2 linked regions of the Drosophila melanogaster genome follow. The protein of the gene in region 2 interacts with the protein of the main gene of each other region in a pairwise test. Each region holds a gene or a part of one and is shown on either strand. Other genes may lie near its edges.

Region 1 (2,702 bases), on a different chromosome or scaffold from region 2:
GCGAAGCCAATAAGCAGCAAAAAATAACCCGCAAGGAACTTCATGTCTATCAGAAGAGAATAGAAATAAAACACAGACCCGGTTTTTATATAGTTTATAAGCCAAGTGTTGCATAAGCCAAGCGAATCGTTTAATTCTTTTAAACGGTGGCCAATTTTAATATCGTTAAATCATTTTTCTTTCGGTCGTACGAAAATCAAATCTTTTGAATATTACATTTGGTAAAATTGGTTTTGCTACATTTGGTTTTGGTACATTTGGTTTTGGTACATTTGGCATTGGCACCTTTGGTTTCGGTATCAGCGCTTTTTGAAACACTTGCGTTTTTAGCATAAAATATATATATTAAAATTTATATTTAATATAATTAGGCAAAAACATCTGATATACTGTCAGATTGTGACTAGTCGTAAAAGCCATGACCATTAATAAGTTTTGGCCAAACAAAGCTTCGAACAAAAGGTTTATGAAAAAATATATATGGTATATTCTTGTATACTAAAATAGATTTAATATTTCAACTTAAAATAAAATAAATAGGCCATTGCTATTACATGCAAACAATTAAGTAAATGTTTTATTGAATTCTGTGCCTGCAATTATCAAAAGCTCATTTACTTTGCGGCGCTGGGACTATTGATGTGGATCACATTCTTGTTTTCGTTGGTGTTCGGATCCGCAGATTGGGCGAAAGCCACACCGGCAAAGAGCAGAACAAGTGCAGAGGTGATCTTCATGTCGGCCAGTTGGAATTGGAAGTAATGACAAGCTAGGGGAGTGCTCTTCTTATAAGGCCTGGGTTGCGTAAGCGATACTAATCTAAATGCCAGACAATTTGAAATTAATTGCACGATGAAAGAAAAAGAAGTGGAACTAATTCCTTAAACCCGAGACATAATAGACCGATTACAATTTAAATAACACTTGATTCCTTTTGTCAATCTGACAAACATTTATATAATCTGAACTTACCTGGCACGGCGATAGAAATCTTTCTTGATTTCATAAAATTAGTATTAGTCTTTAGCAAGCATTTTTAAAAAGCACGCCAATGAAATTTACTAAGCCGAAAAAAAAAGTTTCTTCTTGAATTCAAATTCATAATCACACCTGTTTCAGAAGGATATGAGAAAGCAGTTGTCTGGTTACTATCTACCACAGTTCTCAATGACTTGTCGTGATAACAATAGTCAGTTAAAATAAAATTATTATTTTCCCAACAATATTGGGAAACGTAAATGAAATTTACTGAACCGAAGATACCTTTTTGTTGTTTGAATTCCAATTCATAATCACACCTGTTTCAGAAGGATCTATGACAGCAGTGGTCTGGTTACTATCTACTCCCATGTCTGGTTGGGGTTTCAAAAGTCAGTCCATGTAGTTTAATATTGTAATACATAGATTAAACACTCTCATAAACATATATTGTGATTAGCGATCCATTTTATTAGAAGAAAATAACCTCTGACTCATAATATTTAACTTTCGGCTGGAGCATCTGCGAGTCCTGCTTCAGGAGCAGCTGGAGCTGCGGCAGGAGCTGCGGCAGGAGGTGCGGCAGGAGCAGCAGCAGCTGCTGCGGCAGGTGCAGCTCCTGGCTTCTTGGCACCGATGACGATGACGTTGTGATTTGTATTCTGGCTCTTTTGGGCGCTAACCAAAGCCAGAACAACCAGCAAAGTGACGAAAAGAGCTAGGAACTTCATATCGGCCAGTTGGAAGTCAATTTAAAAGAAATGAGGAAATGCAAGACCGCTTATATAGGCAAAAAAGATCGCCAAGTGAAACAAATCTTCAAATTCGACACGCTTGACCTTATTATACGTGGTTCATTCGAGGAAAATAATGTAATTATCATTGGCATGTGTTTGATTATGCTGATATATAAAAAAAGGAATTAAGTGGAACCCAAGCATAAGTTACTTAAAATATAGAGCATAAGCTTTCAAAATATCATACAAAATATTTTTTTCTTGCATATTGCTGTTACAATCACAATTTCGTGTGTGAAGTGAAACGAATTTGGCTGTTAGTTAACCGTAAGCTACGACGTTGAAGTGCAGTCTAAAAATCTCATAATGAAAGTGTCACGAACTTTAATCGTTGTAGGTTCTCTGCTCCTGATTCTCAGCATCGTATTAACCTACAAATGGATAGCATACAATCATGCTTACCCGAAAGCACAAACAGAACTAACGAATTCGACGAAGAAAGCAAATCTCATCGATAGCAAGGCTAAGAATAAAAAGCACGTGCAGAATTCCTTAGCCAAAAAGGCAGCCAAGTCGGTGGCCAACCAATCCAAGTTCAAATTGGACAAGGTTTCTAAGAAAATTCCAGTCATACCCCTGCTCGATGTTCTTAAGGCCAAAAAGCAGCCAAGTCGTGGACAAAATATATTCTTCCATGAAACCACGAATTTCAAGCGGATAGAAAAGAGCTCTGTGGTCCAATTGACGGCACGGGAGGCCTGTGCCATTGAATCGGCCGCCCTTCACAATCCAGGCCTCACTGTATTTGTACTTTTTGCCGGCGCCACTCATCGCCCATCAAGTGGAGATCCGCTGATCAGGGCTGTTCACACATGAACACGAATATATTTAAAGACTTACAATTTTGGGCTCCGTTCATATCTTATGTAAATGAATCGAGAGCGATAAATTATATTTAGGATTTTGTTATCTAAGGCGACATGGGTG
Region 2 (6,676 bases):
CTCTACGATACTGGTAAGTTTAGAGCTACTAAGTATACACCCTTGCGTTAACGAATCTTATCATTCTATTCAGCTAAACTGTGACAAAAATCAATATGAGCTAGATGTTATCAATAGCAAGCTCTATCACTATGACATTGTTACTGACAACTGTTTTAATCCGTGGGTCTTCACAGACATGATTTCCCTGATCGTGGGCGTAAGCTACACCTTCGCCCGAATTCCATTTGCCCTAAAGATGCTCATTACATGTTGCGCAACCGTTGCTTACTTGGTTATCGTATTCTTTCAGTACTCATTTATTTTCGAGCACAGTGCCACCACAACACCATTTATGAAGGCGGAACTAGCTCATTGTCTTCGGGTGTGCATGATGTTACTCACGATGTACGCAAAGGAGCGTCAGTCAGAGTTTAATACGAAAATTAACTTTAAGTATGTTTTTAATGCTCTTTCTACTTCTCAATAAAGAGAATTTTCGCCTTGTTAACAGGATCAATCAGGATTTGCAAGGCAAGCAAAAAGCGGCTGACATCACGAACAAATCCATCATAATTCTACTCACTAACATTCTTCCCTCCCACGTGGGTCAGTTCTTACCTGAATACAAGCCCAAAGCTTAGGGTTCTTATCAAACACGCTTTCACCCACAGTTGAGGTTTATCTCGATTCAGTAGCCAATCACGAACTGTACTACGAAAACTATAAAATGGTGTCCGTCATGTTTGCCATGCTCATCAATTTTCAAATGGATTTGCCCAGCCTTCGAGTTTTAAACGATATTATAACAGAATTTGATAGACTGGTAAGCTTATGTATTGATTTCTAGATAATAAGGTATCATCACTTTCGAACCCAGTTAAATGCCTACAAGGAATATTATGTCGTCGAGAAGATTAAAGTCGTGGGCTGCACTTATATGGCAGCTTGTGGACTTGATTTTACCCTGGCTAAGTCAAAATTTGGAAGCAGAACACATGCTTCTTACTCATCCGAATGTAAGTACACCCTCTTGATGGACTTCCAATGATGAAGGGTTTAAATTTTGTTAATAAACTCATTTCTTTTAGTGGAACAGGTGCTTTATCGCAAAGAGTCCAAAGGCACAGAAAATGACCACGATGAGGTGGCCTTTATAATGACCACGTTTGCCTTGGATCTAATGAGAGTGCTTTCCGTCTGCAATAAGGCATACGCTGGTAGACCCTTCGATCGTGCTCTATCTACCGGAGAGATCTGTATCGGAATCTCAACGGGTGAAATAATGGCCGGAGTTGTGGGGGCGTCTCAGCCACACTATGACATCTGGGGAAACCCTGTGAATATGGCTTCTCGAATGGAATCGACAGGGCTGCCTGGACACATCCATGTGACGCAAGAGACAGCCAATATTCTCGAGCAGTTCGATATTATGTGCATGTACCGTGGCATGACCTTTGTAAAGGGTCGTGGCGAAATTCCCACCTACTTTGTGGGCATCGACGATAACTTGAAGTTTTTGCCCTCAAATGTGAAGAAGAACAATATGTCAAAGCGTTTTTCAATCTTGTCCTCTCTAGTGCCAGTTCACAGCCGAAGTACAACTTCAAGTGAATACATTTAATACTTTTTAAAATTTTTAGAGATTTATATTCTGTACGCTACCTCGTATAAGATATTTTCAATCATTTATATCATATGTTATAATATGTAAAATAAAGGTTAATGACATTCAATTAAGTTAAATGTAGGTTCATGGGTCTAAGCAGGCTTTGAGTCCTGGAACCTAGTTCTCATTCATACAATAACTCAAACGTAAAAAAAATACTACTTAAAAATATGAACAAAAAAAACACTTACAAAACGCCGTACAGGGAAAGGTTTAGGCGATGTAATCTGGAATATACTAATGAACGCCTTTGGGAACAAAGTTATTTGAAGGTAAGAAATTTGCTCAGATATCCGTTTCTTAAATGCAACAGATATTCGTAGGCCAGATGTAAGGAGTTGCACTTAGAGGAGGAATATATGAAATATAAGATTCGTTTGATGATCAGTTCCCTTACCGTTTTTGTCCCCATGTTAATACTACTGATCGTAGCTCTTCAAGTAATCATATGGTCATTTACCGAGGTAAGCGTTTTCAGTTGGCGATCTAGTTATTTTGACGTATATTACTCTACGCAGTATACAAAATACATCTATATAAATGCGATATTTGACTTGGGATCATTAATTTTAGTCACGGGCCTACTAAGCATAAATTTCTTTGAAGACTTTGTAATCCGCCACAGATGGGTCATGACTTTCACCTCGACTTTGTCGGCATATGTTGTGGTATTGGGTGGTAAGTTTAAGAAGTTAAATATGCCCTTATATTATAGTTACACCAGCTACTTGTAGAGTGTTTGTACTAGATTCAATGATAATTAGTCGATCCTTAAAATCCACAACTTCTTTCCATATACACTCAACTATAGTGTTTTCTCTTGTTTTCAGATATAGCCTTTAACACTTATTATTATTACAAATCCAACTGGCCTCTTAATACCTTATACGATGTCTTTGTGCTCTGCATGATCTACATGTTCCTGCCAATACCTTCGAGCAAGGCAGCAGCTCTGCTAGCCATATCTGTTAGTTTAACATATGTGATATATTTTATTCACTTCATGGCGTTTAACGAGCATAATGTTGCTAAATATGTTCATGGTCTGGATATAGTATCAATCGATTTTTTTCACTACCTGGGCTTCAATATGATGGGAATATTCTTCAGAATCATGAACGACACCATGGTGCGCTCGTCGTTCTTGGACCGATACCAGTTCATTACGGAGGAGATTTGGCTACGCCAAGCTCGCCGTCAAGAATCCTTGCTGCTGGATAGCATACTTCCACCACAGATTGCGAAGCCCATTCAGAAAAGCATTAAGGAAAAGATCATACAGCCCGATAACGACTTCTACCATCTGGGCACTTCGCGGACAGCAGAAAACTTCATGTCCATCCAGATTCACAACGATGTCAGTATCCTTTATGCTGATCTGGTGAACTACACCCAATTGACCACAACATTGACGGTGGAGAAGCTGGTGAAGGTCCTGCACGACCTCTACGCCAGATTTGATTTGGCTGCCTTATCTTTCAAGGTGCAGCGCATCAAGTTCCTTGGCGATTGCTACTACTGTGTGGCGGGTTTGGGGGAATCTGATCCTGATCACGCCACCATGGCTGTGTCTCTGGGAATTTCCATGATTGCTAACATTAAGGAGGTGAGGTATGTTGATTACTATGATCCCATTAGGTTTAGAATCTATGATTTATGGCGTCCCACATCGGCAGAAAGGGATTCGTTTTTTTTTTAGTTATTTTGCTCTAATTTGGCTTTCATTTTGAGTACCATTTCGTCCGCAGTGTGAATCGTTCTTTGAATATTGGCATGCGAATTGGTGTCCATTCGGGAACTTTGTTTGCAGGTGTAATCGGCAAGGCCAAGCTACAGTACGACATATGGGGTATGGTACGATGCAACAAATCAATGACACAAAACATATTCGTGAGTTTTCCAGGTGCCGACGTGAATATTGCCAGTCGTCTGGAAGCAACCGGAAGTCCCGGGTATGTGCATGTTAGTGGACGAACTCTGAGCAGCTTGAACGCTGAGGAATACAATATATATCCGGGCACGGAATCGGCCCAGAAGGATCCCGTACTGCAGAAACATCCGATGAGCACCTACCTCCTCACCGCTATACCATCCCTCGATTCGGATAAAACAATTAGCATAGTTGAGGGCGTTCCTAACCTGGACCTTCAAACCGTGGGATCTAACCGAAAATCACAGATTTTGAAGCCTAACTTACTGTCCCATGAGATGCGTGAGGAATTTAGAAAGATGCCGGTGGGGGGTTTCAAGTGAGTTGTGGGGAAAACTGTGCATTGTGCACCTGCAATGAAATAACGAACTACTACCGCAGATTTCAATTCCCTTGGTCGCGAAGAGAAAGAAATTTGAAAAACGAGAAAGTCGAACGCGATTTGGGCATTTTTTGTGTCGCATTTAAGGACAAATCTGTGGAATGGAATTATTTGCATCAGCCCGATTATATTTTTAAATATTCAGTGGCGCTCGGCTGGGGAATTGGTTGCTGTCTTATTTATATCCAGTCCGTGAACAACTCAGATATCTTTTATACGGGTGTTGTCATTAACATTATCGCGTTTTTCGTCCTGACTTTCCTACTATTCATTTGCTGGTACAAGAAAGTGTGCTGGTGGCATAGTGGACAAAACGAGCACAGGAGTTACGGCAAACTCAGCTGCGCCATATTCCACTTGTTTGAAAAGATCCAGCACAGTTTTGTCCTTCGCCTCACTGTCTACATGATGATAATATTGTGCTATTACATGGTGATCTCCTTGATATTAGTGAGTTATGAAACAACGCATGTATTTAATATATATATATATTTTTTTGTATGCCCAAAGATGAGCTGTGAAAAGGACCAATATGAGTTGGACATTATAGAGAGCAAGCTCTACAACTATGACATGGATCCGTTTACCTGCTTCCACCCCTGGGCCTATACGAACATGATGGCCCTTATCCTGGGAATGAGTTACACCTTCGCCCGCATTCCCTTCGCCCTCAAGACCTTTATCGGTTGCGCCGAAGCAGTGGTTTTCGTCCTGGTTGTGTGTTTCCAGTACGCGTTCATTTTCGAGCACAGTGTTACCACATCGCCCTATTTAAAGGCTGAAATAGCTCATTCCTGCAGGGTGTGCATGATGTTGATTACTATGTACGCTAAGGAGCGTCAGTCAGAGTTCAACACTAAAATGAACTACAAGTAAGCAAATACTTTCTTTAAATCAGCTGATTTACTGATTTTCCTAACTGATTGCAGGCTCAACCTGGACTTGCAAAACAAGCAAAAATCGGCCGATGTAACTAACCAGTCCATCATAATCCTGCTTAACAACATTCTTCCATCTCATGTTGGTCAGTTTGCTAAGAATATCGCCCCAAGAAGCTTAGTATCTCAGTTCTTAGTTCTCTTTCGCAGTCGAGGTATATCTCAGCTCTATAGCCAAACACGAACTCTATTATGAAAACTATCGAATGGTATCAGTCATGTTTGCCATGCTCACAAACTTTCAAATGGATTTGCCCAGCTTAAGAGTGCTAAATGATATCATCACAGCGTTCGACAGATTGGTAAGTATTGATTTTAATTTACGACTATACTATACTTTCCGATTGCAGCTTTCTGCGTACAAGCAATATTACGTAGTCGAGAAGATCAAAGTCGTCGGATGCACTTATATGGCAGCCTGTGGATTGGACTTTAGCCTGATTGAAAACCTTGATAGCAACTCGAATTTTGGCAGTACATCATTGTCATCCGAATGTAAGTGCCAAATGCATTGGTTCTTAATATAGGTCTTCTAATGTGATATGGGTATATTTGATTAATTCAGTAGAACAGGTGCGTTCTCGTTTGGAGTCATCTATAAAAGAGAAGAACCATGATGAGGTGGCTTTTATAATGGCTACGTTTGCTCTGGACCTGATGCGCGTTCTGTCGGTGTGCAACAAGGCTTACGCCGGAGAACCATTTGATCGGGCTTTGTCCACCGGCGAGATAAGGATCGGTATCTCTACGGGTCAGATAATGGCTGGAGTGGTAGGCGCTTCCCAGCCGCACTACGACATCTGGGGGAACCCGGTCAATATGGCCTCCCGAATGGAATCGACTGGTTTGTCTGGACATATACAGGTTACAAAGGAGACTGCCCAAACGCTCGAGGAGTTCGATGTTATGTGCTATTATCGCGGCTTAACCTTTGTGAAGGGTCGTGGTGAAATTCCCACCTATTTTGTGGGCATCGATAAAGACCTAAAGTTCATGTCCAAGAAAATCGATAGACTTTCTGAGAACCCATCTAATCCAGATCTAAACCATGACCTGGACGGCTCCTAAGACAGATACAAATTTTTTCGGCAAATTCTTCTCAATATGGAATTCGAATCGCAAATGCATATTGAAGGCTTCGTTTCTCAAATTTTGAGATCGTAGTTCTTGTCTGTAAAATTTGAGATGCGTAGCCTTACAAAATGATGTGGACTCAAATCTTGTAAAAATTATGTGGAAAATACATATTTGTAATACCTTAGAACGTTTTGTCCCATTTTTTTCAATCCTTTGGAGGGTTCAACAAGTTCCTTTTATAAAGCGAAAAATCTGGTTAAAGTAGGCTGTGTGTTCGATGCTTAAATTGTTCTGCTGAGTCTTGTCAATCGAAAACAAAAGCCAGGTAAGATAAGCTGGTAAAACGAAATGCCTCGCTCCCTAGGAAATTGTCAGCTTAATTATTCAAAGGAACGCATGTGGGAACCTGGCTACCTCAAGGTAAAATTAAGTCTTTGGACCTGGAATTCTTTTATTAATATTCTATGTCCGAATATTCTAGGCTAAATGTGCAGAGTTGCGTTTGGAGAGCGAGTTTCGACTGTATCGGATACGGCTTTGGAAGAGTTACCTACTCACTTTTTTTATGCTGCATATATTCGTTACCTCCGTGCACTGTGCCCTACTTTTAGCAACGATTGAGGTAAGAACCGCCTAACCTAGATACAATTTTAGACCAACAGTTGCACAACATATTTAAAAAACCATTAAATGAGATGTTT

Evidence for each region. Proteins that work in one complex are often made in the same cells at the same time.
Region 1: the proteins of ACXA (region 2) and Mst57Db interact in a two-hybrid assay, tested with the Drosophila melanogaster proteins (one large-scale study listed by BioGRID).

The regions. Positions count from the first base shown.
Region 1 is NT_033777.3:25,830,168-25,832,869, forward strand, and holds Mst57Db (Male-specific RNA 57Db), read right to left. Parts: upstream 748-2,702; 5' UTR 738-747; coding exon 615-737; 3' UTR 553-614; downstream 1-552. Other genes in the region: Sfp96F (seminal fluid protein 96F), read right to left, coding at 1-44; Mst57Da (Male-specific RNA 57Da), read right to left, coding at 1,482-1,709. UniProt on the Drosophila melanogaster protein: Transferred from male to female during mating and may affect egglaying and behavior after mating.
Region 2 is NT_033779.5:12,919,296-12,925,971, forward strand, and holds ACXA (adenylyl cyclase X A), read left to right. Parts: upstream 1-1,795; 5' UTR 1,796-1,818; coding exon 1,819-1,920; intron 1,921-1,971; coding exon 1,972-2,112; intron 2,113-2,166; coding exon 2,167-2,326; intron 2,327-2,478; coding exon 2,479-3,259; intron 3,260-3,396; coding exon 3,397-3,497; intron 3,498-3,551; coding exon 3,552-3,897; intron 3,898-3,959; coding exon 3,960-4,410; intron 4,411-4,470; coding exon 4,471-4,832; intron 4,833-4,889; coding exon 4,890-4,984; intron 4,985-5,035; coding exon of another isoform or gene 5,036-5,048; coding exon 5,049-5,200; intron 5,201-5,248; coding exon 5,249-5,393; intron 5,394-5,463; coding exon 5,464-5,966; 3' UTR 5,967-6,158; downstream 6,159-6,676. Other genes in the region: ACXB (adenylyl cyclase X B), read left to right, coding at 1-13, 74-435, 494-588, 654-805, 860-998, 1,071-1,603; ACXE (adenylyl cyclase X E), read left to right, coding at 6,324-6,395, 6,457-6,597.